4 linked regions of the Elephas maximus indicus genome follow. The protein of the gene in region 4 interacts with the protein of the main gene of each other region in a pairwise test. Links are inferred from orthologs where the notes say so. Each region holds a gene or a part of one and is shown on either strand. Other genes may lie near its edges.

Region 1 (8,126 bases), on a different chromosome or scaffold from region 4:
TGGCCGCCATCTGGACCTTGGGGTATGAGGGATGGACCTCGGGAGCCAGACTGCTTTTTTCACTGTCTGTCAGAGAAAGAATTAGTTAGGAAGACTCAAGAAAAAGCAAGGAATATATGTTGGAGTGGGGGAAAAGAATCAGACAAGCTCATGAGAAGCCAGGCAGAACGCAGGAGTTTAAGAAAAGAGCCACTGAGATAAATAAAGACTTGAAAAAAATTCTGGATGTGGAATAAAATGCTGGAGTATGAGGGGAAACCCTTGAGCAACATATAGTGCTCCAGGGAGAAAACGAAGGATTTGAAAAGGGGACTGCCCAAAGGGGGTGAGAAGGCTCTGAAGCCCGTATAAGAGTCTGAGGGAAGCCCTGAGTGAGAAGATAGGGGGAGGTTCTGGAGGAAGGAGTGGGAAGACCTCAGTCAAACCATAAAAAATTGAAAAACCCCATGTCCGTTGCCATCCAACCAATTCCGACTCATAGTGACCCTATAGGATAGAGAATTGCCCCACGACGTTTCCAAAGAAGCGGGGCCTTGGTGGCAGAGCAGTTAAGAGCTACCATTGCTGACCACAAGGTCAGCAGTTCAAATCTACTCGCCACTCCTTGGAAACCCTATGGAGGCAGTTCTGTTCTGTCCTGAAGGGTCGCTATGAGTCGGAATCGGCTTGACAGCAGTGGTTTTTTTCTTTCTAATCTTAGAAATAAGGATGGTGACACTTCATCTCACGTACTTTGGACATGTTATCAGGAGGGATCAGTCCGTGGAGGACATCATGTTTGGTAAAGCAGAGGGTCAGCAAAAGAGAGGCAGACCCTCAACAAGATGGACTGACACACTGGCTGCAATAATGGGTTCAAGCACAGCAACAATTGTGAGGATGGCGCAGGACCAGGCCGTGTTTCATTCTGTTGTACACAGGGTTGCCAAATTGGAACTGACTCGATAGCACCTAACAACAACAACAATCTTTACAGAAGCAGACTGCCACGTCTTTTTCCGATGGAGTAGCTAGTGGGTTCAAACCTCCGACCTTTTAATTAGCACTTAACCACTGTACCACCAGGGCTCCTTAACCAAGTGATAAGGAATCTAAAACAAATTCTAGAGAAAAAGATATACTCTGAGAGAAAGCAGAAGAAATAAGACTCTCTAATAAATCTGAGTAAATCCTTAAAGCTGGGAAGCTTGGAAAGATTTCTGGGAGAGAACTTTGTAAACAGGGAAGCCTTTGAGGGATGCTTGAGAGAAGAAAGCAGGTGCTGGAATGGGGAGAACACTGGAGCATGGAGGAAAAATTTGAGAGGAAAGGAGGATTTCTGAAGTTACCTCTAGAAGCAGTGAAAAGTGAGAGCACCTGAGGGGAACTGCCACATGAAGAAGTTCTTAGAAGCCGATTTCAAAAAGGCTCCCCAAGGGCAGAGAAAAAACCTATAGGGAAGGCTCCTAGAGGCAGGAGTGGGCCTAAGAAGATCTCCTTAGTACGGGAGTTCTGGGCATAAAGCTTTGGGGACGCCTAAGGGTCGCTACGAGTCAGAATCGACTTCACTGCAATGGTTTTTTTTTTCAGAGGCCCAAACAGGAGTCCTTGGGTGGTTTAAAAAAGGAGCCCTGGTGGCACGGTGATTAAGTACTCAGCTGCTAACTGGTAGCTGTTCAAACCCACCAGTGCACTCCTGCAAAAAAGCTGTAGCTGTCTGCTTCCATAAAGATGGACAGCCTAGGAAACCCTATGGGGCAGTCCTATTCTGATACAGTCGCTAGGAGTCGAAATCGACTTGATGGCAATAGATTTTTGGTTTGGGTGGCACAAGGGTTAAGCGCTCAGCTATCAGCCTAAAGGTTGGCTGTTCAAACCCATCCAGAAGTGCCTGGGGCGTGGAGGGGGGGAGCCTGGTGATCTATTTCTGATAAGTCACATCCTTGAAAACCCTATAAAGCAACTCTACTCAGCACACATAGGCTTGCCGAGACTCAGCATCAACTACATAGCAACTAAAAACACCAACAGGCTCAAAAGAGTTTTAGGAAATTACAGAGCTGGGGTCGAAATAACTAAAACAAATCGAAGGGGTGTTTGGAAGGCAAGAGTTGAGGACTGTAATGTACCTAAGGGTGGGCTCACAGAAGAGCCCTTCTGAGAACCCAAACCCAAACCAAACCCACTGCCATAGAGAGTCGATTCCGACTCACAGCGATCCTATAGAACAGACTAGAACTACCCCACAGAGTTTCCATGGAGCGTCTGGTGGATTCGAACTGCCGACCTTTTGGTTAGGAGCGTTAGCTCTTAACTACTACGCCACAGGGTTTCCTGAGAACCCGAAAGCCCTACAAAAGGGAAAAGAACAGGAGTCTGGGGAAAGCCCTGAAGAAAAGTCTAAACGGGAAACATATCCTGGGTGGAGAATGGGGGCTGTGAGTGGCAATCGCTGGCGGGTGCGGGAACCCCGGGACAGAAGAGACCGGGGGAAAAACTCCAGCCTAGAGTGAGGCTCCCGTAGAATCGAGGACCACCTGGCTGTCCTGCAGGCCCGGGGAAGGTGAAGGAGGACGCCGGTTGGAGGATGAGACGGCCCGGGGCCCCGTGACTGGCCCCGGAGCCACCGCCCCAACCGCGCCGCGCCTGCGCACCACGTCCCGGGGAGGGGGGAAGAAGCCAGCGTGCAGGCCGCCCGTCGCCCGGAGCAACACCGCCCTCCCGGCGGAATCGCCAGGTCAATAGAGGGTGGGGTGCGTTCCGGGCTCAGGGAATTCCAAGGGCGGGGTTGGGCGCGGAGCCGACGCGCACGCGCGCTACAGCACGACCGCGCCCCCACCCCCGCTATGGCGCACATGCGTAGAGGTTAACCCAGCGCCGCCACACCCCGGCGACGCTCATGCGCGGCGTCCGTTGGTACGACGGCCGAGAAGGCCTCGGGGCCCGCGGGGCGTAAAACCAAAAGGAGATCCCCCCCCCGCCGCCCGCCCGCTCGCTTGTCGTTCCTCGTACCAGCCTCAGGCGTTTGTTCTCCGGACTCGCCAGCAGTGGCCCAAAGGAACGTGAACACGGCTGCGAGATTGCTGGGCGACCCAGCTGGTTCTCCTCTTCCTTTGGCTTCGACGTCCCGATCGCGGCGTCTTGACGTCATTAGGCGGTCTTAGCCGCCTTCCTTGCCCCCACACCGCGCAGCCAATAGGCGCCGCTAGTGTGAATTGAGCCCGCCCCCCACCTCCGCTTACGCACATCTTGCGTTGAGTGTTTTAAGGCAAACAGGAAGAAAGGGTGGAGGTGGCCTCCTGAAGGAAATGCGGCTTCCGCAGTTAGAAGCTGGTGGGGTTTTTGCGATTCGTCGCAGCCTAGGTTGAGCTCAGCCAGGGCTAGCATTTATTATTCCTATTTGTCAACTGGTATCATGAGAGGTGTAAGACTATGCATAGTACAGTGATGTGGAAGCCCGAGGAGGGAATGATTGACTCAAGAGGGGTTAGGAACCGGCTCCATCCGGATGAGGGGAGCGTTCCTAGTAAATAGACCTGGGATGGCTCACCTGGCGGAGGACCCGTGTATTCAAACATAAAAAGGCGGGTAACCAGCGTGGCTTTGGGTTGGGAGGAGGTAGTTGAATGTGGCTGCAGAATAGAATGGTGTGGGGTCCCGGAATGAGGAGAGAGGCCTGTAAGTGGGCAGGTGCAAGATGCGGAAAAAACCTGAAGAACTCGGGCTGAAGAACTTGGACCTGAGCCTGTGGGTAGTGGGGAGCTACATGCCTGAAGCCCGTCAAAGCCTGTCCTAAGTCCTCGTGCCTCAACCGTCCACTTCCTCTCATTTGCTATTGTTGAACCATTTATCGGCATTTTAAATATCCTGTTATTAATTGGGAAACCCTGCTGGCGTAGTGGCTAAGTGCTACGGCTGCTGACCAAGAGGTCGGCAGTTCGAATCTGCCGGAAGGCGCTTCTTGGAAACTATGGGGCAGTTCTATTCTGTTCTATAGGGTCACTATGAGTCAGAATTGACTTGACGGCAGTGGGTTTTTTTTTTTTTTTTTTGGTTATTATTGATTGTGGAGCCTTGGTAGCGAAGTGGTTAAGAATTGGGCTGCTAACCAGAACGTGGGCAGTTTGAATCCACCAGCTGCTCCTTGGAAATCCTGTGGGGCAGTTCTGCTCTGTCCTATAGGGTCGCTATGAATTGGAATCGACTTGACGGCACACAACGACAAGAACGTTATTGATTGTGGAATCCTTGAGTGGTGGAAACTGTTAACTTGCCCTGCTGCTAACCAAAGGTTGCCGGTTTGAGTCCGCTCAGAGGTACCTAAGAAGAAAGGCCTGGTGATCTGCTTCTGGAAAAACCAACCATGGAAAACCTTATAGGGCACAGTTTTACTTTGACACACATGGGGTCGCCATGAATCAGCATTGACTCCATGGCAACTGGGGGTTATTTTTTGTTATAATTTTTAATTACCTTTTTGAGCCAGGATTCTTAAACTCCTATGGCTAGCCTCCTTATCCATAAAAATGGGCGTGAGAATAATATCTCGTAGGGTTTTGTGGAGGTAAAATGAGTATAATCACGGAACAAGTAATAGCTATCATTTCTATGAATATCATGACTGACTTGCTTTTTATTTTTTTAGCAGCTCATGAACATCCTTTCAGGTTAGTTCATTCTTTCCGATGGCCAGATAATACTGCAGTATATGAATTCATTCATGTATTCATTTAATATGTATTGAGTGTCCACTATGGTTGTTTTTGAGGCCAAACCTCCAGAGCCTCATGCTTCTGAGTTGTGAGAGGAGGAACCAGTAAAATGCCAAATAACGGGACAGGATGAGTAAACACCACCCATCCCATCTCAACACCTTCTGCCTCATCTTTTTTTTTTTATTAACTTTTATTAAGCTTCAAGTGAACGTTTACAAATCCAATCAGTCTGTCACATATAAGTTTACATACATCTTACTCCGTACTCCCACCTGCTCTTCCCCTATTGAGTCAGCCCTTTCAGTCTCTCCTTTCATGACAACTTTGCCAGCTTCCTTCTCTCTCTATCCTCCCATCCCCCCTTCAGACAAGAGCTGCCAACACAATCTCAAGTGTCCACCTGATATAATTAGTTCACTCTTCATCAGCATCTCTCTCCCACCAGCTGACCAGTCCCTTTCATGTCTGATGAGTTGTCTTCGGGGATGGTCCCTGTCCTCTGCCAACAGAAGGTCTGGGGACCATGGCCGCCGGGATTCCTCTAGTCTCAGTCAGACCTTTAAGTATGGTCTTTTTATGAGAATTTGGGGTCTGCATCCCACTGATCTCCTGCTCCCTCAGGGGTCCTCTGTTGTGCTCCCTGTCAGGGCAGTCATCGATTGTGGCCGGGCACCAACTAGTTCTTCTGGTCTCAGGATGATGTAGGCCTCTGGTTCATGTGGCCCTTTCTGTTTCTTGGGCTCTTAGTTGTCCTGTGACCTTGGTGTTCTTCATTTTCCTTTGCTCCAGGTGGGTTGAGACCAATTGATGCATTTTAGATGGCCGCTTGTTAGCATTTAAGACCCCAGACACCACATTTCAAAGTGGGATGCAGAATGTTTTCATAATAGAATTATTTTGCCAATTGACTTAGAAGTCCCCTCAAACCATGGTCCCCAAACCCCCGCCCTTGCTCCGCTGACCTTTGAAGCATTCATTTTATCCCAGAAACTTCTCTGCTTTTGGTCCAGTCCAATTGAGCTGACCTTCCATGTATTGAGTGTTGTCCTTCCCTTCACCTAAAGCAGTTCTTATCTACTGATTAATCAATAAAAAATCCTCTCCCTCCCTCCCTCCCTCCCCCCCTTGTAACCACAAAAGTATGTGTTCTTCTCAGTTTTTACTATTTCTCAAGATCTTATAATAGTGGTCTTATACAATATTTGTCCTTTTGCCTCTGACTAATTTCGCTCAGCATAATGCCTTCCAGGTTTCTCCATGTTATGAAATGTTTCAGAGATTCGTCACTGTTCTTTATCGATGCGTAGTATTCCATTGTGTGAATATACCACAATTTATTTACCCATTCGTCCGTTGATGGACACCTTGGTTGCTTCCAGCTTTTTGCTATTGTAAACAGAGCTGCAATAAACATGGGTGTGCATATATCTGTTTGTGTGAAGGCTCTTGTTTCTCTAGGGTGTATTCCGAGGAGTGGGATTTCTGGGTTGTATGGTAGTTCTATTTCTAACTGTTTAAGATAACGCCAGATAGATTTCCAAAGTGGTTGTAGCATTTTACATTCCCACCAGCAGTGTATAAGAGTTCCAATCTCTCCGCAGCCTCTCCAACATTTATTATTTTGTGTTTTTTGGATTAATGCCAGCCTTGCTGGTGTGAGATGGAATCTCATCGTAGTTTTAATTTGCATTTCTCTAATGGCTACTGATCGTGAGCATTTTCTCATGTATCTGTTGGCTGCCTGAATGTCTTCTTTAGTGAAATGTGTGTTCATATCCTTTGCCCACTTCTTGATTGGGTTGTTTGTCTTTTTGTGGTTGAGTTTTGACAGAATCATGTAGATTTTAGAGATCAGGTGCTGGTCGGAGATGTCATAGCTGAAAATTCTTTCCCAGTCTGTAGGTGGTCTTTTTACTCTTTTGGTGAAGTCTTTAGATGAGCATAGGTGTTTGATTTTTAGGAGCTCCCAGTTATCGGGTTTCTCTTCATCATTTTTGGTAATGTTTTGTATTCTGTTTATGCCTTGTATTAGGGCTCCTAGGGTTGTGCCTATTTTTTCTTCCATGATCTTTATCGTTTTAGTCTTTATGTTTAGGTCTTTGATCCACTTGGAGTTAGTTTTTGTGCATGGTGTGAGGTATGGGTTCTGTTTCATTTTTTTGCAAATGGATATCCAGTTATGCCAGCACCATTTGTTAAAAAGACTATCTTTTCCCCAATTAACTGACACTGGTCCTTTGTCAAATATCAGCTGCTCATACGTGGATGGATTTATATCTGGGTTCTCAATTCTGTTCCATTGGTCTATGTGCCTGTTGTTGTACCAGTACCAGGCTGTTTTGACTACTGTGGCTGTATAATAGCTTCTGAAATCAGGTAGAGTGAGGCCTCCCACTTTCTTCTTCTTTTTCAGTAGTGCTTTGCTTATCCGGGGCTTCTTTCCCTTCCATATGAAATTGGTGATTTGTTTCTCTGTCCCCTTAAAATATGACATTGGAATTTGGATCGGAAGTGCGTTATATGTATAGATGGCTTTGGGTAGAATAGACATTTTTACTATGTTAAGTCTTCCTATCCATGAGCAAGGTATGTTTTTCCACTTAAGTATGTCCTTTTGAATTTCTTGTAGTAGAGCTTTGTAGTTTTCTTTGTATAGGTCTTTTACATCCTTGGTAAGATTTATTCCTAAGTATTTTATCTTTTTGGGGGCTACTGTGAATGGTACTGATTTGGTTATTTCCTCTTCGGTGTTCTTTTTGTTGATGTAGAGGAATCCAAGTGATTTTTGTATGTTTATTTTATAACCTGAGAGTCTGCCGAACTGTTCTATTAGTTTCAGTAGTTTTCTGGAGGATTCCTTAGGGTTTTCTGTGTATAAGATCATGTCATCTGCAAATAGTGATAACTTTACTTCCTCCTTGCCAATCCAGATACCTTTTATTTCTTTGTCTAGCCTAATTGCCCTGGCTAGGACTTCAGGTACGATGTTGAATAAGAGCGGTGATAAAGGGCATCCTTGTCTGGTTCCCGTTCTCAAGGGAAATGCTTTCAGGTTCTCTCCATTTAGAGTGATATTGGCTGTTGGCTTTGCATAGACGCCCTTTATTATGTTGAGGAATTTTCCTTCAATTCCCATTTTGGTAAGAGTTTTCATCATAAATGGGTGTTGGACTTTGTCAAATGCCTTTTGTGCGTCAATTGATAAGATCATGTGGTTTTTGTCTTTTGTTTTATTTATGTGATGGATTACATTAATGGTTTTTCTGATATTAAACCAGCCTTGCATACCTGGTATAAATCCCACTTGATCATGGTGAATTATTTTTTTAATGTGTTGTTGGATTCTATTGGCTAGAATTTTGTTGAGGATTTTTGCATCTATGTTCATGAGGGATATAGGTCTATAATTTTCTTTTTTTGTAATGTCTTTAC
Region 2 (7,557 bases), on a different chromosome or scaffold from region 4:
GGCACATAGTAGAAGTGTCAGATTTAGCAAATAAAAATATAAGATGTCCAACTAAATTTAAATTTCAGATAAACAATGAATACTTTTTAAGTATAAATATGTTGTTGTTGTTGTGTGCCAAAGAGTTGATTCCAACTCATAGCAATCCCATAGGACAGAGTAGAACTGCCTCGTAGAGTTTCCTAGGCAGTAATCTTTATTGGAGCAGATTGCCAGGTCTTGTCTCCTACAGAGTTCCTAGGTGGGTTATAACTGCCAACCATTCATTTAGCAGCCTAGCACTTAATCATTGTGCCACCAGAGCTCCTTAGTATAAATATATCCCATGCAGTATTTCCCCCACTTGTCTGTCAGTTTGTCATACTGTGGGGGCTTGTGTGTTGCTGTGATGCTGGGAAGTATGCCACCGGTATTCAAATACCAGCAGAGCTAACCATGGCAAACAGGTTTTGGCTGAACTTCCACACTAAGACAGACTAGGAAGAAGGACCTGACAGTCTACCTCCGAAAAGATTTAGCCAGTAAAAACCTTATGACTAGCAGTGGAACACTGTCTGATATAGTGCCAGAAGACGAGCCCCTCAGGATGGAAGGTGCTCAAAAGAGGACTGGGGAAGAGCTACCTCCTCAAAGTAGAGTGAACCTTAACGACATGGATGGAGTCAAGCTTTCAGTACCCTCATTTGCTGATATGGCATGACTTAAAATGAGAAGAAACAGCTGCAAACATCCATTAATAATCAGAACGTGGAATGTATGAAGTATGAATCTAGGAAAATTGGAAGTCATCAAAAATGAAATGGAACACATAAACATTGATATACTAGGCTTTAGTGAGCTGAAATGGACTGGTATTGGCCATTTTGAATCCAACAATCATATGGTCTACTATGCTGGGAACCACAACTTGAAGAGGAATGGCGTTGCATTCATTGTCAAAAAGAACAACTCGAGATCTATTCTGAAGTACAATGCTGTCAGTGATAAGATAATATCCATACACCTATAAGGAAGACCAGTTAATAAAACTATTATTCAAATTTACGCACCAACCACTAAGGCTAAATGTGAAGACACTTAAGATTTTTACCAACTTCTGCAGTCTGAAATTGATCAAACATGCAGTCAAGATGCATCAATAATTACTGCATATTGGTATGCAAAATTGGAAACAAAGAAGGATCAGTAGTTGGAAAATATGGTCTTGGTGATAGACACGATGCTAGAGATCCCATTATAGAATTTTGCAAGACCAACGACTTCTTCATTGCAAATACTTTTTTTCACCAACATAAATGGTGACTATACATGTGAACTTTGCCAGATGGGATACACAGGGATCAAATTGACTTCATCTGTCGGAAGAGACAATGGAAAAGCTCAAAATTATCAGTCAGAAAAAGGCCAGGTGCTGACTGGCGGTGGAACAGACCATCAATTGCTCATATAAAGTTCAAGTCGAAACTGAAGAAAATTAGAACAAGTTGATGAAAACCAAAGTATGACCTTGGGTATATCCCACCTGAATCTAGAGACCATCTCAAGAATAGATCTGACACATTGAAAACTAATGACCGAAGACCAGATGAGTTGTGGAACGACATCAAGGACATTACATATGAAGAAAGCGAGAGACTGTCATTAAAAAGACAGGAAAGAAAGAAAAGACCAAAAGGTATGTCAGAAGAGACTCTGAAATCTGCTCTTGAATGCCAAGTAGCTAAAGCAAAAGGAAGAAATGATGAAGTAAAAGAGTTTAAATAAGATTTCGAAGTGCGGCTCGAGAAGACAAAGTATGATAACAACATGTTCAAAGACCTGGAGATGGAAAACAAGAAGAGAAGAACATGCTCTGCATTTCTCAAGCTGAAAGAACTGAATAAAAAATTCAAGCCTTGAATTGAAATATTGAAGGATTCTATGGTGGAAATGGAAGACCTGGTTGTGTAGTGGTTAAGTGCTACGGCTGCTAACCAAAAGGTCGGCAGTTCAAATCCACCAGGCGCTCCTTGGAAACTCTGTGGGGCAGCTCTACTCTGTCCTATAGGGTCACTATGAGTTGGAATCGACTCGACGGCAATGGGTTTGGTTTTTTTTTTTATGATGGGAATATTAAACAACTCAGGAAGCATCAAAAGACGATGGAAGGAATACAGAGTCACTATTCCAAAAAGAATTGGTTGACGTTCAACCATTACAGGAGGTACCATACGAGCAGGAACCAATGGTACTGAAGAAAGAAATCTAAGCTGCACTGAAGGCATTGGTGAAAAACAAGCCTCCAGGAATTGGCAGAATACCAACTGAGATGTTTCAACAAATGGATGCAGTGCTGGAAGTACTCACTTGTCTATGCCAATAAATTTGGAAGACATCTACTGACTGGAAAAGATCTATATTTATGCCTATTCCCAGGAAAGGTGATCCCACTGAATTATCAAACAATATTATTTATATCACACACAAGTAAAATTTTGCTGAAGATCATTCAAAAGCAGCTGGAGCAGTATATTGACAGGGAACTGCCAGAAATTCAAGCTGGATTCAGAAGAGGATGTGAAACCAGGGATATCATTGCTGATCAGGTCAGATGGATCCTGGCTGAAAGCAGAGAATACCAGAAAGATATTTACCTGTGTTTTATTGACTATGCAAAGGCATTTAACTCTGTGGATCATAACAAATTATGGATAACATTGCAGAGAATGGGAATTCCAGAACACTTAATTGTACTTATGAGGAACCTGTACATAGTTCAAGAGGCAGCCGTTTGAATAGAACAAAGAAATACCATGTGGTTTAAAATCAGGAAAGGTGTGCATGAAGGTTGTATCCTGTCACCATACCTCTTCAATCTGTATGCTGAGCAAATAATCTGAAAAGCTGGACTATATGAAGAAGAACGGGGCATCAGGATTAGAGGAAGACTCATTAACAACATGCTGATGCAGATGAACAACCTTGCTTGTTCAAAGTGAAGAGAACTTGAAGTATTTACTGATGAAGATCAAAGACCACAGTCTTCAGTATGGATTACACCTCAACATAAAGAAAGCAAAAATCCTTACAGCTGGACCAATAACCAATATCATGATAAATTGGGAACAGACTGAAGTTGTCGGAGATTTCATTCTACTTGGATCCACAATCAACACCCATGGAAGCAGCAGTCAAGAAGTCAAAGGAAGCACTGCACTGGGCAACTCTGCTGCAAGAGACCTCTTTTAAGTGTTTAAAAACAAAGACGTCAACTTGAAGACTAAGGTGTTGCCTAACCCAAGCCATGGTGTTTTCCATCGCCTCCTGTGCATGTGAAAGCTTGACGATGAATAAAGAAGATCGAAGAAGAACTGACGCCTTTGAATTGTGGTGCTGGAGAAGAATATTGAACATACCATGGACCACCAAAAGAATGAACAGATCTGCCTTGGAGAATGTACAACCAGAATGCTCCTTAGAAGCAAAGATGGCGAGGCTACCTCTTACATACTCTGGACATGTTATCAGGTGGGATCAGTCCCTGCAGGAGGACATCATGCTTGGTAAAATAGAAGGTCCTTGGAAAAGAGGAAGACCCTCAAGGAGATGGACTGACACTGTGGCTCCAACAATGGGCTGAAGCATAACAACGATTGTGAGGATGGGACAGGACCCGGCAGTGTTTCGTTCTGTTGTACACAGGGTCATTATGAGTCAGAACCAACTCCATGGCACCTAACAACAGCAACAACATGAAATATCCGGGACATACTTAAACATCAGATGGGACATACACACAAAAAAGTGGTGTTTATAGTGGTGGAGGACATACTTAAATATCAGATGCGACATATACAAAAAAGTGATGTTTATAGTGGTGGATTATTCAATAGGCAAGGTATGCAGGGTTTCACTGGTAGATGTGGTAGAGTCGGTTTCACTACATGATAAAATTGTTCAGTACAGAGTAGCAAGCATAAGTAAGTTTGTGCTTACTTTGCTTACTGGGTCATTCACTCCTGTCAGGGAGTGTGCATTTGTAAAGAAGCTTTGATTCTGCAGGAAGGTGTTGTGGTGTTGGGAAACAGACAGATGCTAGCCATACCTAGAAGCAGAATCTTTTATGTGGTGAAAACATGTGAGATTTGTTCTCTACTGATGATCTGGTAAGCAAAGTAAGTACCATGCTTACCTTGCCTATCGGATAATCTGCCCTGATGTAACTGGGCATCCTGTATTTTTCTGGCAACCTTACTTCATTGAATCTTTTCCTCTCACCTGTGCAGGGGGGTAATGATAATACCCGCCTCAACAGGATTGATGGGAACGGTAAAGAGACACCTGGCGCGCAGTGAACCCTCAATTCATGACTGCTAGGGGAGCAGCCTGCCGATGGAAAACCCTCACACTTTGAAAAATACTAACAATGAGAAAGTCTTTCCAAGACCAAAAACACCGCTGCCAAGCTTCGGCTGCCCACACCTGCGAGCCCGGCCAGCCTCTTCCGAGTCAGGTGACCGCGCGCTCTCACGTGACCCTGCCCGAGTGAGGGCGGTGGGAGGCGGAAGTGGGAGAGGAGTTGGAAACCGCTTCTGTGGTCACGGCAGGTAGTGAGCGCGGGCGTGGGCAACGCAACCGGCTGGCGGGCGGCGCGGAGCGGGCGGGGGGCGACAAGCGGCACGGGGTGGACCGGGGGCGGCGCGGCTCGGGCGCCGGGGGGCGGTGGCTTCCTGTGGGAGGGGCCTGGCGCGGCGGTTCCGGCCTCCGAGGAGGGGTGTCCCGGCTCCTGCCCGAGTCGGTGGGCGCGCCGCGGGCCGCGCGCGGGGGTTTCTCGGTGGAGGGCGCTAAGGCAGCCAGGGGTGCAGCGGGGAGCAGGTCATTCCGAAAGATGAGGACCTTAGGTGCCCAGGGATGGAAAGGAGTGACCTTTGTGGAGGGATCAGGAGAGGAGGAAGGGGTGCTTTGCAACTGGGCTAGAACAGGGTGCGTGAGAATGACTTGGAGGGAAAGAGGGAGAACTGGATGAAGGTGCTTCCTGAACCCCGTCTGAGAGTCTCTTTCTTTCCTTCCTCTTTGGAAATGTTTGTTACCAGAGACTTTGATTCCGGTTCCGTTCAGTTTATAAACTTAAGGAGGCATCATACAATCTTGATCATTTTGCTGTCCTCACCAGCCCTTTAGTCCTGCTTGGTAGGGTTTCCACGTCTTGGGAACCTAGCCTTTCAGATCATCTTTCTTTGAGATTTTCCCAGATCAGGTCATGGTCAAGGCTTTAAAAAAAAAAAAAAAAAGTATGGGCACTTTGGCGGTAAAATGGCTTTTAGTCTAAACTGTTGACCGCAACCCAGCCCAGCATTATCTCAGCAACATAGTGTCTGCTGAAACCTGGGACGGAGGAGTGTTCACCTGTACTGCTTTATGACTTTTCATTTTTCTTAGGTCTAAATTATTCAGCCTCCCTTACCACGTGAGTCCTTATCTTGACAAACTGTAACTAGGTAGGGGTGACTGAGAGGTCTGTGTTGTGTTTGCGAGAACTCTGGCCTGAATCATGATTTTGAGGTTAAATATCTGCGTTAAAGCTCTTCATCCCTCCTCTTTCTCTTCACGTTTACCGAAATTTGCAAAAGGGAAATGAACTTCATGGTGCAGTGTAACTGCAGGGAATGTTCAAACTGGACCTTCACAGAAACAGGAATCATTTTGGGTTACAAGTTGGGAAAAAAGTACTTACGTTTATGAGTCCAAGTTTTTGGAGTATTTGACGAACATATTTAAATTAATTTTTGTAGCAGTCCTGTGAGTTAGGTTGGAAAGGTGTTATTCCCATTTCACAATGAACACAGGCCTAAGAGAGATGAATTGATTGTTAACAATTTATTGCTCGCTCTTGTTTGCTGTCCCTTTCTCCCTTTTAACCAGTTGTCATTGAGTGGATTAGACTCATGGCCACCCCATGTGTTGCAGAGTAGAACAGCTCTCCACAGTGTTTTTAAGCTGTGACCTTTCTGAAACAGATCACCAGGCTTTTGTTCTGAGATGCCTCTCCATGGGTTCAAACCGCCAACCTTTCAGTTAGTAGTCAAGAGCTTAACCATTTGCTATCCAGGGATTCCTCCTTTCTCCCTACTAGCCTACAGATACCTCAAGGATAGGGTTCATATCTTATTTGGCTTATTTGGCTGCTAGCCTTGGGTCTGGCATGTTGTAGGCACTTGGCAAATGTTTAGAGAATAAATTAATTTCTAGACGTCACACACTGGTAAGTGGCAGACAAGGGATTTGCACTCACATCGTCTATCCTTGCTCTTATCTGATAGGCTTGCTATTTTCTATTATTGATCTATATGAAAATGATAGGCATGGGAGAAAGGCTTCATTTGGCTTCTCAGTCTCTTCCACTACTTTCCCATTTACAAAGAGCTTATACAAACATCTCATTTAATCGTCACCAGGATCCTGTGAAGGTAAATATTGTCCCCGCTTGACAGATGAAGAAGCCGAGACTTAGAGATGTTTTTGCTTTAGGTCCCAGAGCTAGTGAATGACTAAGCAGGGAGTCATGCCCAGGTCATTTTATCCCCAGAGTTGTTCTTTTTCATTTATGAACATAATAAAACATTGTTTGAAAATATTTTTTTCAAGTATAAAAATACGTGGCATTTTAAGGAAAAACACTAATAATAAAGGTCACAGCAAAAATCATGCTTATAGAACGTGAATAATGGAGGTTTAGAAAACCCTGTACTGTGTCATAAAACCAAACCAGACCTGTTGCTGTTGAGTCGATTCCGACTCATAAAACCCAGAAAAACCTTATTCCGACTCAGAGCAACCCTATATATAGGATAGAGTAGAACTGCCCCGTAGGGTTTCCAAGGAGTGAATGGTGAATTTGAACTGCCGACCTTTTGGTTAGCAGCTGAATGCTTAACCACTGCGCCACCAGGGCTCCGTACTATGCCACAGTTGGCTCTTATTTCAGGGAAAATGTTGTTTTCATTCAATGACTATAAGTGCCGACTCTATGCCAGGCATTTCTTTGGAGTTGCGTTGTCCAGTATGGTGGGCACTAGCCATATGTGGCTGTCCAGTGTTTCAGATGTGCTGTAAGTATAAAATTTTGAGTATTTAGTATAAAAAAAATAACACATCTTTTTGGTATTTTTGTATTATTTGCATTACAATATGTATAGTGTAGATGTTAACATTTTGGATTTATTGGGTTAAAGGTAGATCTTAGACAATGAAAAGTTACATTTGTGGCTCCCTTTATATTTCTGTTGGACAGTGTTCTAGACGCAGGGACTACAGCAGTACACAAGAGAGGCAAAAATCCCTGCCCTCGTGGATCTTAAATTTTAGGGGGGAAAGGCAGAAGCAAAACAAAGAAGTAAATATATATTGTGAGAAAGCAGACAAGAGGAATGTGGCGTGTTGGGTGGGGTTGCAGTTTTAAATAGGGCATGTAGAAAAGCCTCCCTGGGAAGGTGATGGCTGAGTAAAGATCTGAAAGTAGTGAGGGAAGGAGTCATGTGGCTAAGTGGACTCATAGTGGTCTAGGCAGAGGGAACAGCA
Region 3 (7,228 bases), on a different chromosome or scaffold from region 4:
TCAGCTTGCTTGCGCGTTCCTATCAGCTGTACAATTGCGAAGAACTGCTGGTGGCCGTCGTATTTTTCCTGTTTCTCCAAGACTAACATGAAGTGAAAACCAAAACAGGACTGCATCATCACCCAGTCAACAGCACCAGGAAGATTAATGTCTGTAGCCAGGAAAACGATGTCCTCTCCCTGCAGGGTCGTGATGGACTTGTGCTGATGCATCAGGTGGGGCATGACAGCATCCAAGGAGCCCTGCCACTTACAGGAAGCACCGGGGCACGGACAGGAGTAAGGCCGAAACTCACAGAGCTCTTCGTGGTCTGCTTTTTCTGTGTGTGGCAGAGTTATTTCACATCCAGAAGAGGCGTATTTACAAGGGAAAAGTACTGAATTGGCCACTTTCTCCATAGCCAAATTGCGAATGGACCCCAAAGGGCCCCGGCAAGTCGGACAGCACGTGAGCTTTGGGCGACAGTTGCTACAAACAAGGTGGCCACTCTGACACTGCAGAATGGGCGGTAACACATAGTCAAAGCAGACTGGACACTCAAAAAGGCTCGCCAGGTCATTGTTGGATGCGGTTGTGCCAGTCAAGGCAGGCACCCTCTGGGATGGCGTACACTTTGACGTACCAGTAGGTAATGCTGTGGCGGTCTGACGGCTCATTTCTGTAAAAAATAAAAACACAGAAATAAAAATAGAGTTACAACTGTCATTTGTTTTGCAAATAATATTTACATGCCAGAAATTTTTTTACTATAAGGAGAAGAACAAAGGAAAATAAATAGGGTTAAATTATACTAAATATGCATTCTGATCATTAAGGGTCCTACTGTTTTCAAAACGCTCCAGGATATGTTTAGGATTGCTTTTTTAAAAAAAGAAAAATGGGCTTCACTGCCAATTCCAAAACCACATGGAATAAGAAATGAAATGCTGAAAGAGAAACTGAACTGTAAACAACTAGGAAACACCATACGAGCAGCTTAAGTCCAATCACAAATCCTCCCTCTGAATTCAGTTAACCCCACTCAGTCGCTTTCCTTTCAGCTGCTCATAGTTATAGGAGTTACAGGTGAGTCCGACAGCTCAAATGCCAAGGAACCACCAGAGTACTGACATGAACGCTTCGAAGGGTGAACAGTGTTTGTTCTAGTGGTATATTTGGAGGATGAGGAGAGGCAGTCCTGAGAGGAAGGGCCTGCTGCCATCCCAGCATCATCTAAGAGAGCTCCCTGAAACACTAACATGGCTAGGTATAATCCTGTCTCCTAGGGGTCAGTGCCCTCCTCAAAAACGAGAGCCGACAGGAGAATGGAAGGGCCATCCTCAATGAGTTTAACATAAATCACTCTGTTCATTCCACATCAAAAAATATAAAAGCACCAGAGAGGCACAGAGAACACTGGCGATGGGGTAAGGATTCCTTGCACCCTGAGGTTCACCTGTGCTGCCGACACACTTGTTAGCAGTGTAATAGTAAACATTATTGAAGAACTAAATGTTACCTGGGAGCAACGATCAACAGTATACCTAGTCAGCCTAGATCAAAAACAAGCACCTTTCCCCAGGTATCTACCTTTGCCAGGATATGGCAGGTCACTGTCTAGGGGGAGGGATGATGAAGATCAATCATCTGCTCCTGTCCTAAGAATGCCGATAACTCTACACTAAGGTACAGCAAATTTACTGATTCCTCTCAGTTATAACTGTTACTCCATTGCAAAGAATTTATCTTTTAAGAAACAATGCTTGTTACCAATATGACCAGGTAAATACGATTTGGGGTCTAGATTACTCAAATGATTAACAATAGATACCTTAAATGCAGGTTAAGGGTATTAAAAAAAAAAAAAAAGATCAATTCCATGGTTAATAAGAGGATATCCTAAAGTTTGAGGGGAAACAGAAGCACAGCAGAATCCCTTCAGAACGTGGCTCACCTGAAGCCCTGACGTTCTATCCCAACATGGGGACCAGAGAGCTCTGTCAGTCAGTTCCCCTCCATGTAGGCTCTTTGCGCATCTGATGATCTACCCACTGTCAGGTGTAAGACAACGGGCTTAGTACTGCCACACAACACCCTAAAAGTCGCGCCCGCTGAACAACAGGACACTGCGGAGTGATTGCTTGGGCAGAAAGCAAGGCCAAGCCAGCAGGGGCTTTCGGGTCACTAAACCAATACAACTAAGGACATCGAAGGCCCGTAAACTGAAATTGTAATTTAACATAATAGAGCTACCAAGCAAGAAAAACACTGTTGTTCAATTGCTTGACCTAGTTCGTTATGCATTCACCGATAGTTCACGATCATGTTACAACAAATTATTTTTCCAAACGTCGTAGAAGGTACAATTTGTATTCCTATTCCAAGTGAAATGTGGTGGAGGTGTTACAGAGAAGTAGCTGCCCAAAACCCCAGAACTCCAAAGGTGCGACCCAGTCAGTCCCCAGCCATACAGCAGCTTTGCAGTAAGCACCAAGGGCTCAACCGTCTTGACAGTCCTGCAGAAGTTACAACAAAACCTCAAGTTTGATGTAAAACGAGATCAAATGGAACGTCCCGGCTAACCCCGGGAAGCGCTGTTATCATGGTGGGGCTGATCCGGGCAGACTCCACTGACTTGACAACATACAAGTCCCACAATGTAAGCAACCCAGCCAGTACCTTTTCTCTCCCTTGTCCTAGCTGCAGGCAGACAAGGGAACAAGCCTCCCCCCAACGAGTAGAGAAAAGGCAGGGCAGGTTTCCCCGCCATGAGAAGTCAGGCTGCTCACGGCGCGTCCTCATCACAGAGGCCCCTCCGGACACCCCCTTGTGTTCCCAAGCCCGGAAGACTCCAGCTCGAGCCCGAGATCAGGTTCTACAGGAACAACGGCAGGTGTCCTACTCTGCACAGGCACGAGGAATCAGAGTTTCCCACCCCGAGCAGGGGCGACCACGAGCAGGCGCGACCACACTCCGGGCTCGCTCTAAGTCGCCTGTGTCTCCAAACACGGGCGCATCGTTGAGCTGCCCGCGGCGCCCGAAACCGTCTATCCCGGGAGCCTGTCCTCCCCAGACTCATGAGTGGGGCTCCCGCCAAGACCGGGCAAAGGACGGGCCTACAGGGGTGCGCAGAGGTGGCTGGAAAAGGAAGTGCGCTCTCCAAGTCCGGAGCTTCTCCAGGGTCCACCCCACAGGGAAAGAAGAGCCATTTGTAGGCGGAAGCTGCAACGCCCGAACCGTGATGCCGAACTCCAAGCTGCGGCGCCGCCGGCCGGCCCAGTCCCCGCCGCACCCAGGGAGGTGGCACCCAGGGAGGTGGCCGTGCCACAGGGACGCGCCGACGCTCCTCCGCAGGCCGGGCGGAGCCACGGGGACGCGACGACGCCCCGCCCACTGCCTCTCCGCACTAGGGGCGGGGCCTCAGGTGTGCGCACGCTTCAATTAAAACTCCTGCTTTAACCTCCAAACGGCCCTTGTAGCCTCTTGCCACGCTGGGAAAGCCAGCTTACACTGCCTCGTTCAACTCCCAGCGGCCAGCTTTGTTTTTAAACCACCACGTGCCCTGCCGCAATGAAGCCTTGGGCATCCGACATCACTGCATCAGGCAGCCGTTCAGAGGTCTCACCTGTCACCGCACCACGCTTAGAAAAGGCTGTTAACCAGTCACTGTAGCGTGGTGGTTAAGTGCTACGGCTGCTAACCAAAGGGTCGGCAGTTTGAATCCGCCAGGCGCTCCTTGGAAACTCTATGGGGCAGTTCTACTCTGTCCTACAGGGTCGCTATGAGTCGGAATCGACTCGACGGCACTGGGTTTGGTTTGGTTTTTAGTATAACGCTTAGAAAAGCCTGTTAACCTGTCACTGCATCACGCTTAGCAAAGCCTGTGGAAGCAGCAGGACCAGGAACCCCGGGCGGTGAACGCAGACTGCTCACTTTTCTGCAACCAAGTTTAACTTATCACCCCTTCCCCCAAATCGTGGGTGCAAGCACTTCAAACTCATTATTTAATATTAGGCTACACAAAACATCATTAGGAATATATAGGAAATATAACCAGAAATATAGCCCATTTCCCACATGCAAATATAATTACTATTACCTGCATTTTTACTTTCTAATACCCATTCATTCTAGATAAGTCTTAGGGATACAGGGAAGACTTCAAACGTTTTAGGCACCGACACTTTTCCAAACGTAATTAATAATTCTGTATAAAATTAACATCTAAAGTAAGCTGATGGCTCCCAAAGGAGCAGCACACACCCCTAGAGCACTCTGAAAACAAGACAAACCCCTCAATCTAGAAAAAGTGGGAGAGTTTTGGAGTCAAACTTGAATTCAAATCCAGGCTGTAAAACTGGGATAATACTTTCAGCCTCACAGGCTTTTGTCTAAATTAAGGGAAAATGGCTAATTTATGTACATTATGCCCACTAACAACATCAATTCCGACTCATAGCAACCCTATAACAGGACAGAGTACAACTGCCCCATAGGCCTTCCAAGGCTGTAATCTTTAAGGCAGCAGGCAGCCACATCTTTCTCCCTTGGAGCAGCTAGTAGGCTCAAATGGCCAACCTTCTGGTTAGCAGCTGAGTGCTTAACCACTGTACCACCAGGGATTCTCTACGTACATTATAAAAAAAAACCCAAACCCATTGTCATCGATTCGATTCCGACTCAGAGAGACTGTACAGGACAGAAAAGATCTGCCCTATTGAGTTTCCAAGGAGCACCTGGTGGATTCAAACAGCCAACCTTTTAGTTAGCAAACAAGCTCTTACTGAATTCATTTTTAGCACAATAAACCTTAGTAGAATTTCTCAACTATGTACAATATTTTTTTACACTAGAGCTAGAAAAATTCATAAAAACATTTCATTAAGGCAAGCACACAGAACCCAAAGTTAGCAAAAATTCAAAACTTAACAAGAGTTTGCTATTACCTACCATTTCTAAGCCTACATTTCAATCAAACCCAGTTAGGTATAAAGTTTAAATGGATTTTAACCTAAATCAAAACATATTAGCATCTTATTACAGTCAGACCATTTAACTATTGCTCTGCCATATTAACATAAAGCAGAAGGAAGAGATGGATTTAAACTTTTGTTCTCAATTTCATGTGGCAGTTATTTGTTTCCTTTTATAAATGACTAAGAATTTCTCTGACTTGTCACAACCCAGTGCCTGGCTACTCTAATTAATCCACGATGTTTTGCTTACCCTTTCCTTTTAGTTTACAAATGTTACTGTGCTCCCCCAAGTAATGCCCCCTCCTTCCAAAGGTGTCCATGTATTACAGCAGCAATATGAAACTAATGGTTACTTAAAATTAAAAGCTTAGAATGAAGAAAAGTAGTCAGACATGGGAAGAGATCACGATGTTATCATAAAGCAAATTGCAAACCAAACATTCCTAGAAATCACACAGTGAGGTTTATAGTAAAATAAAATTACAGCTGTCAGATTAGTGATCACTGGGTTAAACTGAATCCCTCAATCCAAAACATCTAGGGCTTTCCTCCTCCTCTCAACTCTTCTTTGTGAAAAGGGCGCTTCTACATTTGGATGATATGGTGATAGCTGGAGTCCCTGGGTGGTGCAAACAGTTAACACATTCAGGTGCTAACCAAAAGGTTGAAGGTTAAGAGTCTACCCAGAGGCACCTTGAAAGAAAGGCCTGGAAATCTACTGCTGAAAATCAGCCAGTGAAAAACCATATGAAGCACAGTTCCACTCTAATGCCCACGGGGTCACCATGAGTCAGGGCCAACTCCAAGGCAACTCGTGGTGGGGACAGGTATCACAGCATGTACAAAATGTCGGTTAAATTATAATGCTAAAAAATGCTTCTCTTCTCTGACAAAAATTAAGGCAAGTCTCAAAACTTCAACAGCTTAACACACGAAGTCAAAAATCAAACTTCGTTATAAACATAACAATGTTGAGGAAAACGAATTCACCTGTTTTTAGTTTCCAGACCTGTGGCAAAGTGATGTGGTATTTTTTTTTAAGTACTATGTATTTTTTCTCCTAAAAACTCCTTTTATTTTTTTTTTTTCCTGAAAATAATCCTCAGAACTTTGTGGCTACAGAAGAAAAGTTATGTGTCTAATAAAAGAGATGATTTGAGTGGGAAAAGCCAGGGGGGCAAAGGACCTGATACGTGATAGAGGTCTGAACAAACATGATAATACAGTAAAGGAAAGGGAAAACCCCAACTCAAGTGTGTAGAGCAAAGTACATTTGCTTTTCACGACCCAAAATCACCACACTCTGAAGCTTCCATGCCTGCTAACACCAGTAAGCATCAGTTGCCATACAGTAGATTCCAATTCACAACGACCCCATGTGTGTCAGGCGTACAACTGTGCTTCATAGGGTTTCCAATGGCTGAATTTTTGGGAAGCAGATCCCCAGGTCTTTCTTCCAAGGTGCCTCTGAGTGGACTCAAATCTCCAACCTGACCACGTATTCTGCCAAAAGACAGCATATACTTACTCAGCACCTGTTAGGTACTATGCAAGATGCTGAAAAATGCCAAATAGAAGTGAGATGCCTGTGCAGTGTCTGAGAGGAGCTGTCATAAGGCAGCCGATATACAAAGAGGGACAAGGTTGGAGATTTGAGTTGTTGGCATACAGATGACATCTGAAGACACAGAGAAGAGGAGCTTGCCTAAAATTAGAAGAAAAAAAAATCCAACATTTAAAGTTTCACTGAAGACAGAGGTAATCACCCCTAGACGACAATAATTTTCAAACTTCACTGTGCTCACTAACCATCTAGTGGAGCCCTGGTGGCACAAATGGTTAAGTGCTCAGCTGCCAACTGAGAGGCTGTCAGTCGAACCCACCCAGTGGCTCCACAGTGGAAAGACCTGGCCATCTGCTTCTGTAAAGATTACAGCCAACGACACCCTATGGGGCAGCCCTACTGTTACCTGGGGTCACTGTGAGCTGAAAATGGCAATAACAGTAATCATCTAGGGATCTCGTTAAAACACAGATTCTGATTTAGTAGGCTGAGGTGGGCCTGAGATTTTTAACACGCAAGCTCCCAGGTGTGGCCAACGCAAGTGACCAATTTAAGTAGCAAGAGCTGAGAAGGACATCCAAAGTGGGAGAAAACTAGAGCCTAATATCTCTGAAGCCAAGGGAAGATAAGGATTTAGGAAGACAGGCCTATAAAAACTCACATCTGTATCAACAGAAGAATGAATAAATATGATTTTATTATATTCTTG
Region 4 (7,337 bases):
CGAAGAACAAAACCCAATATAATAAAAGGGAAAAACAATCTAAACAAAAGCACAAGATGACTGTGATTGGCTGTGATCTTCATCTTTACAGCAGGGCGCCCATCTCTCCTCCCATCACAGAACCTGTTCACCACATCAGTCAGGGGATCCAAAAGGTCAAAGAAATATGAGAATGTACCTGAAGAACACAGCAATTCGTGTGCCCTTCCCCCTCACCTCAACTTTTTTTTATCAGCTGAAATCTGAAAAAATTAGCGAACAGTTGCATTGAAGAAGTAAAGCCGTCATAAAAAGGTAGGCAAGTAATCCCAGGATAAAGGGAGACGGGAGGGACTGGGATTGGACTGTATGTATGTTTCAGAACCTAGGGCACGTTCTAACACCAAACAGGTGAGCTACACTCCTTGCCCTAGCGGCCAGTCACTGTAACTAACATTTATTAATCAAAACCCACTGCCGTCAATTTGGACTTATAGCAACCCTATAGGACACAGTAGGGTTTCCAAGGAGCAGCTGATGGTGACTTTTTGGTTAGCAGCCAACCACTGCATCACCAGGGCTTCAATATTTGTAAAGCACCTACTATGTGTCTGGCAACACGCTAAGCACATTCACCTTGATTACCGTATTGCAAAGGGAAAATGATAGACCAAATTGGGAAACTGGAAAAGGGTTGCGAGAAATAGGAAAAGAGCCCCTCATTAAGAACAGGAAAAGAAATTAAGGGAGAAGTATGAGAAGGCTGGAGTCCATAGATGGTGCAAACAGTTAAAAAGCTTGGCTGCTAACCAAAGGGTTGGAGGTTTAAGTCTACCTAGAGGTGCCTCGGAAAAAAGGCTTGGCGATCTACTTCAGAAAAAGAACCAACTTGATGTCAACCGGTTTTTTTTCCTTTTGTATAGGAAGGATATCAGAAGAAATACAACTGAGTCACAAGGCTTTCTGGGAGGGATTTGCAGGGTGAATTTCAGGATCATTGGCCCAGCCCTTCTCATTCCAGACCTGCCTGACTGGCAAACCAGCTCAAAGTGTCTCCTAGAAGACAATGCAGCCCAAACCAGCACGCACTGGCCTAAACCACCTTAGAATCCAGGGTTGTCAGAAGGGCCTCAGAGATCATCTAGTCTATTATCCTTTCATCTTACAATGAAGCTGAAGCTCAAAGAAAGAGAAGTGACTTGCCCAAGGTCACAGACACAACCAAGACTAGACCCAGGTCTCCTGGTTCCCATTCCAGAGTACTTCCACTGCACCAGGCTGTGCCTCGGCCCTTTCCCCTGGGACAGCCCAGTCATTCCTACAAGGTCAGGGAAGTAGAAACTTGAAAGTTAGCTGAAGAAAAGGGTCACTGTGGGGATAGTCTGGAAAAGAGGAAAAGAGATACTCCTCAGGAAGGGAGACTCAAAGAGAAATTCAAGTTTAAGAAAACAGAAGGACTTCAGTGCAGAGAAGCAAAACTACTGTGTAAAAAAGTCCTTAATAACAAGGGAGGTAGAGGCCAGAAAGAACCGCCAAAAGATGGTATAACTTGAGAGCATTTTCATTCTCCCACCATGCCTGGGAGAAGGGACTTGGAGACGCCTACGACCTGCAAGTAACATGTCTACCTGTTTCAACAGACTGCTGGATGGAAGGGGGTGCACCCTTTGGGGAACCTCCTATGCACCAGCAGCACCAGAAACATCCTCCGGAACCCAGCCAAGAGCTAGGAATTTAGGGCCCTGATGCATCCCAAGGACACAGGCACACACTGAGGTCCAATCAAGATTCTGAACCCCCACCTAGTTGGACATCCCACTGGACCATTGCCATGGCAACAAAATGGTAGCCTCCCCCCCAAGAGTCTATCCCAGGGATCCATCTGGCACAAAGGGAGACCTTAGAGCTCAAAAGAGTAACGAAGACCTCTCCTATACAGGGACCATGGCTAGAAGCACAGTGGGTGCTCTGGGGATTTAAGGGTGGGGTCACAGCTTGTTTGAAGTGCCTATAAAGCCACCCTCCTTGAAACCCTTTCTCCTTAACTCTCCCTTCAATGCCCCTGTCTTCCTCCTCATCAGTTTTACAAAGACCCACACTACTGGGCCCCAATGCCCCTCTCCCAGAAGTAAACTGTGTCTGGGATTGAGAAAACAGGGTCAGAAGCGACCTGCAGTAAGGGAGAGAAAAATAAGTCACAAAGGCATCACCTTCACACTCCCAACCCTCAAAGCCCCTGATTATTCTTCTCAGAAATGGACCTCTCCTTGCCCATTTCTGAGCCTCCATCTCCGCAGGTTCCACTTCCCTTCCTCAACAGCCACAATCTCTCTCTTTCCACCTACCACACCCCTTCCCCATTTCCCACTTCCCTTCTATTCCTAACACCCCCAACCCCTGGCCCTGAAAGCCAGGCTCCGGGCCTTTGAGGCTTTTCCTGGAGCCCTCACGCCCCACCTCGCTGCCATCTCTCCAATCTTTTCTGCCTCTGCCCCAATCCCCCGTTTTTCCTCCACCAACACCCCCACATCCCCACCTCGGCGTTCCTCTTCTTTTGGTCCGGGGGTCCTGGCTACCCCCTTGCCCCATGAGTCCTCCTCCTGAGCCCCTCCCACTTCTCTCAGCCTTCGAGATCCTCTGGGTGCCCTGGCCCCCATCCCTCCTCGGGGCCGGCCCCACCCCCAGAGCGCCCCCCCCCACCAGCCTCAGGCTAGGCAGTGCCCACAGTAGGGGGACCGAATCGGGAAAATAACAAATGGAGGCGGCAGCGGCGGGAGGGGGAGCTGGGAGGGGTGGGGGTGGGGAGCCGCGGGCCAGAACCCGGCGGGCCGGAGGCCGGGGCGGCAGCACAGCTTACCTGGTTGTAGCTCGGGACGGCTGGCTGCCTCCTGGCGGGATTCGGGGCTCCGGCACCTCCGGGGGGCGGCGGCGGCCGCTCCCCGCCCCCCTCTCCTCTTTCCGGCTTCAGTCGCCGCCGCGACGGCGACGGCGGCGTCCCCGACCCCCCCGGAGGGCGGCCCCCATGTCCCTTTTCCTCCCCACCTGGTCCCGATCGCCCGCCGTCCCCTGAAACAAATCCCGTTGCCGCTCTCCCTCGTCCCCTCCCCAGTCGCGCCGCCTCCCCTGCCGCCCGAAAGCCGCGGCCGCGCCGCTCGCCCCCGCGGCCCGGCCGGCCCTCCGCGCCGCTCGGATCCGCCGCCGCCGCCGCCGCCGCGCCGGCCCCGCGCAGCCCGCACCCGCGCGATCCCCGGCCCTCTCGGCGGCCTCCGCCCGCGGCCCCCGCCCCTTCCCGGGCGGTCGTCTCCTTCGCCCACTCCTAGCCGCTCCCCGAGGCCAGCGGTCCCCCGAAATGGGTCCCGGCTGGAGGCCCCGGCCCGGCGCGGGGCTGCGGGCGGGCTGGGCGGCGCGTCCGGCGACTCGCACAGGAAAGCGGACGGCGAAGGGAGGGAGCTTGGGAGAGGGGGATGGGAGAAGGGAGGAAGAGGGAGAAGGAGGGAGCGCGGAGGAACGGAGGAGAGAGGGGCCAGGAGGGAGACGCGAGGGAGGGAGCGCGAGGCAAGCTGCGAGGGGGGAGAGAGGGGGATCCGGAGAAGGGGAGGCGCTGTGTGAGTTGGCCGAGACCGAGGCCGAGGGGGCCGGGGCGCGGGGAGGGGTTCGCCGTGGCGGAATGTAGGGTGCCGCCGGCCTGACGCGGGAGTAGGGCTGGCCAGGAGGGGCTGTGGGTTGTAAGGACAGATATGGGGGAAGCTGGAGAAGTTTGGGGGGATGGGGTTTGTGGCAGAGGTGAAGTGGGAGGAGTTTGGGGGTACTGGGATAGAGATTGGGGTAAAAGGGTTAGAAAGAGATTGAGAAAATGGAGCTACAAGGATCTTTGGGGACAATGAAGTGTGTGGAAATGAGGAAAGGTGAAAGAAACTTGGAGTGATTGCGTCTGTGGCAGAGATGAAGTGGGAAGAGTTTGGGGGGTTATTACCAAAGAGAATAGGATGAAAGTTTGGGGTCATAAGAAGGGAAGAAATTGAAAGGATGGAGACATATATATGAGGATGGGGTTTTGGGAAGACAGTAAAGAGTTTAAGGGGTGATTGGTGTTGGGAAAGGAATAGGGAATATAGGAATTTGGGGGTGCTTTTTAAAGGAAAGCTGGAGAGAAGATCCCAGAGGAAATGTCAGTATGAAGAGGAAAGGGAAAGCACGAAGAGCCTTAAGAAGAGGTGAAAGAGGCAGAGGAGACTAGGGTTCTGAGTGGGACAAGAGGGTGGAAGACACAGGGCTAGCTGGATGCTGGGGTTAAGTGAACTGAGGGCTTGGGTTTGCAGGGCGAGGTAGATAGAATTGGGTGGAGGGATTTAAGGAAGATTGGAAAAATAAACAAGGCCTTTGGTGGCAATATGGAGGAAGGTAGGTCATTGATGGGGAAGACAAGAGAAGGGAGAGCATTTGAAGGAAATGATAGACACAGAGGGGACGTGTCCAGGTGTGGGTAAGGGATTCAACTTATAGGACTGGGAGACCAGCCTCAGGCCCTTCTGTGTGGTGGCTTCTCTATTTTCATTCTCAAATCTGTTTGAAGTCACCACTGATTGTACCTTGGGCCACAGGGAAGGGGTCAGTGGGGATTAGGCTTGGTATGGAGCCAAATCCCTAGGTGTCCTGGTTCCCTAACTCCATTCTAAGGTAGAGACAATCACCACTACAGACCAAAAGCTCATTCTAACGCGACTCTCATTCTCCCTCCACTGCTCTCCAGGCAGTCTCTGACGCTGTCAGTCTGCCAGCCATTCCCAGTCTTCAGCCATGAAGACAGCACCCCACAAGCCGCCTTCTTCTGGGCTCCCTCCCTGGGCCCACACCAAGCAGCTCCATCTCCTAGGACAAAGGACACCAAGACACTGGGTGATTTTTGGCAGCTGAGATTGGGAAGGCCAGAGAAAGGGAGGGAGGGAGGCTGGGAAACAGGAAGAGCTGGAGCTGGAGTCTGGATCAGGAGTCCTCAGCTCTCCAGATTTGAGGTGAGGGTAGAGTTTTTGTGGGGTCAGGCCAGCCAGAGGCCCATGTTAGGCCCTGAACTGGCAGGATCCCCTGCCATCTGAGAGGGAAGGAGGTTGGCTCTGTAGAAACTCAGTAGATGTCGCCTCACATTTCCCTGGGCCAGGTTCAGCCAACACATGTCTGGGAGGACCCAAAAGCTTACAGTACATGGATTCTAAAGCACTGGGGATGGAAACAAGAAGGCTTCCTTGGCCTAGGAATGAATCACCACTCTTAAGTCCCTCAAACTGGTTAGCAGTCACTTACCACTCCATGCCCACCTTCCTTATCCCTCCCCAGCCTCCCTAAGACAAAGCCAGCCTGTCTTCCTGGGCTCCCCAGACTTCTTTCCTCAGTGTTCCAGGATAGCCCCACTCCTCCTGGCCACCCCCCTCAACTCTGTTCCAAGACTCCTCCTTCCCCCTCCCACTCCTCCGCACAGCATTTCCTCTGTACTTCTCAGTTCGGTCTCCCACTGGGCCCTGGCCCAGGCCCTTCCCATCTCCCTTCTAGGCTGAGATTTCTCTTGTTCTTTAACCACGAAGAGGTGGGCAAGGATGATGACAGATATATCTGAGCCCAAAAGGAAAACTGACTTAGGTGTAAAGTAGGAATGAGGGGGGTGGGGATAGGGAGAGGCAGCAGAGAAACTGGGGCCTACCCCCTCCAATTCCTCACCATGTGAGGGCCAGGCTCACAATCCAGCTTCAGGGAGCATTACACACACACCTCACCATCCCTCACCCCAGCTCTCCTTTCTGGCCCCAGCCCCCCACAACCCACTGGTCTCCAGGCAACGGCACAAAAGGAAAATGGAGAGAGGGGCCTGGGAGGCCCAGGCACAGCTAGCTGTAACCCAATCCAACCCAATACCTGAGGGGGGGGCAGGGAGCATGACTGTCAGAAGGCAACAGAGCAAGGAGGGAGGAAAGAAAGGACACTGGTTAGAAAATGTGGCTCAAACCAGAACCAGAGTAATCCTAATAAGTCTGGTAGTTACTGAAGAAAGATGGAAGTCATGGACCTCAGAGACAACAGAGGCACAGAGAAAGTATGGTGAGCCCCAAGAGAGGCAGAAAGTCCTGCTAGGCAGAAATGAAAGAAAGATGAGATGCCCACACTGCAACGTGCACGGAGGAGTGGGGGCAAGAAGCTCTTTGAACTGAAAATGGCTGAGGTGTCAGGGACCCAGGAGGAGAGGGCAGAAATGGGCCCTGCCTATACAGAACTGAAATCCTTTTAGCCCTGGAGCTGTACAAGACAGCAGAGGGAGCCCAGGACCAGAACTTAGAGTGGGAGGCCCACAGAGAGTACCCTTGAAATTCTTCCCACCCCGACTACAGCAGTGTCCCGCACGGTGTCGTATAGAACATCGGCTCCCTCTAGTGGCCACAGCTCCCCATGGGCAGCCCCTACCTGCTAATATGTGCCTTCCCAATCCAAGGCACTGGGCTGCCCACCCCCTTCTCCCTCTGGGTGGTCCCTAGGCTGAGCATTCCAGTGCTGGGGCTCCACAGGAGCTTAGGAGTTACAGGGGATCTCTAGCCATATACTGGCACCCTATGCACAGTCTGACCCAGCCAGAGGGCCTGTCAAGCACTTCAAGTCCTGAACATTCAGGACTTAAGCTTCCTCAGGCCCTTCCCTACATGGCCTGGTACCAGTCTTCCCAGTTCCCCATCTTGCAGGAGGTGATGGCCACACAGTCCTGCTCCATCCCAGAACCAGCCAGGATTTTGTTTGGGAGAGGCTCAGTATGGGAGCTGGTCCAGTCCACAGCTTTATACCTTTGATACTTTCAGGGACTTCTGGATCCTGGCTATATCACTTGCTGAGTCAATTCTAACTCATGGGGATCCCATATGTGACAGTAGAACTGTGCTCCATAGAGTTTTCAGTGGCTGATTTTTCAGAAATAGATTGCCATGCCTTTCTTCTGAGGCGCCTCTGGGTAGACTCAAACCTCCAACTTTTCAGTTAGCAGATGAGTGAATTAACCATTTGTACCACCCAGGGACTCCAGACCCTAGGTTAAGAACCCCTAATGCACGTAGGTCTTGGGGCCAAGCTTGCCACTGAGAAGGCAGGGGCAACTTGGGTCCCAACTGGCTAGGGTGGACTAGGCAGTGCCATTACCTCAGCCATATTTGTTCAGTGTGTCTTCCTCTCTATGCCCTCCCCAGCTCTGCAGTACAGTTTAATCCACTTCCGGTCGTTCCATCTTCTCTCCCCTCAAATAGACTAGAGTAAGACTCTTCAGACACAATCATGCACTGTGATTCAGACTTTAATGGTGGTGCTGTCAATGCCACAGAAGTGGTGGCAAC

What was found.
Region 1: the proteins of ATN1 (region 4) and LENG8 interact in a two-hybrid assay, tested with the Homo sapiens proteins (2 studies listed by BioGRID and IntAct). The link is inferred for Elephas maximus indicus from reciprocal best matches to the Homo sapiens genes ATN1 and LENG8.
Region 2: the proteins of ATN1 (region 4) and WWP2 interact in a two-hybrid assay, tested with the Homo sapiens proteins (2 studies listed by BioGRID and IntAct). The link is inferred for Elephas maximus indicus from reciprocal best matches to the Homo sapiens genes ATN1 and WWP2.
Region 3: the proteins of ATN1 (region 4) and SIAH1 interact in a two-hybrid assay, tested with the Homo sapiens proteins (2 studies listed by BioGRID and IntAct). The link is inferred for Elephas maximus indicus from reciprocal best matches to the Homo sapiens genes ATN1 and SIAH1.

What each region holds. Positions count from the first base shown.
Region 1 is NC_064829.1:92,407,169-92,415,294, forward strand, and holds the start of LENG8 (leukocyte receptor cluster member 8), read right to left. Parts: upstream 3,124-8,126; 5' UTR 2,992-3,123; intron 67-2,991; 5' UTR 11-66; coding exon 1-10.
Region 2 is NC_064839.1:36,065,531-36,073,087, forward strand, and holds the start of WWP2 (NEDD4-like E3 ubiquitin-protein ligase WWP2), read left to right. Parts: upstream 1-4,509; 5' UTR 4,510-4,586; intron 4,587-7,557. UniProt on the Homo sapiens protein: E3 ubiquitin-protein ligase which accepts ubiquitin from an E2 ubiquitin-conjugating enzyme in the form of a thioester and then directly transfers the ubiquitin to targeted substrates.
Region 3 is NC_064839.1:7,689,001-7,696,228, reverse strand, and holds the start of SIAH1 (E3 ubiquitin-protein ligase SIAH1), read right to left. Parts: upstream 3,007-7,228; 5' UTR 2,750-3,006; coding exon 2,659-2,749; exon of another isoform or gene 1,934-2,658; intron 659-1,933; coding exon 1-658. UniProt on the Homo sapiens protein: E3 ubiquitin-protein ligase that mediates ubiquitination and subsequent proteasomal degradation of target proteins.
Region 4 is NC_064822.1:63,725,560-63,732,896, reverse strand, and holds the start of ATN1 (atrophin-1), read right to left. Parts: upstream 3,054-7,337; 5' UTR 2,837-3,053; intron 2,465-2,836; exon of another isoform or gene 1-2,464. UniProt on the Homo sapiens protein: Transcriptional corepressor. Recruits NR2E1 to repress transcription. Promotes vascular smooth cell (VSMC) migration and orientation. Corepressor of MTG8 transcriptional repression.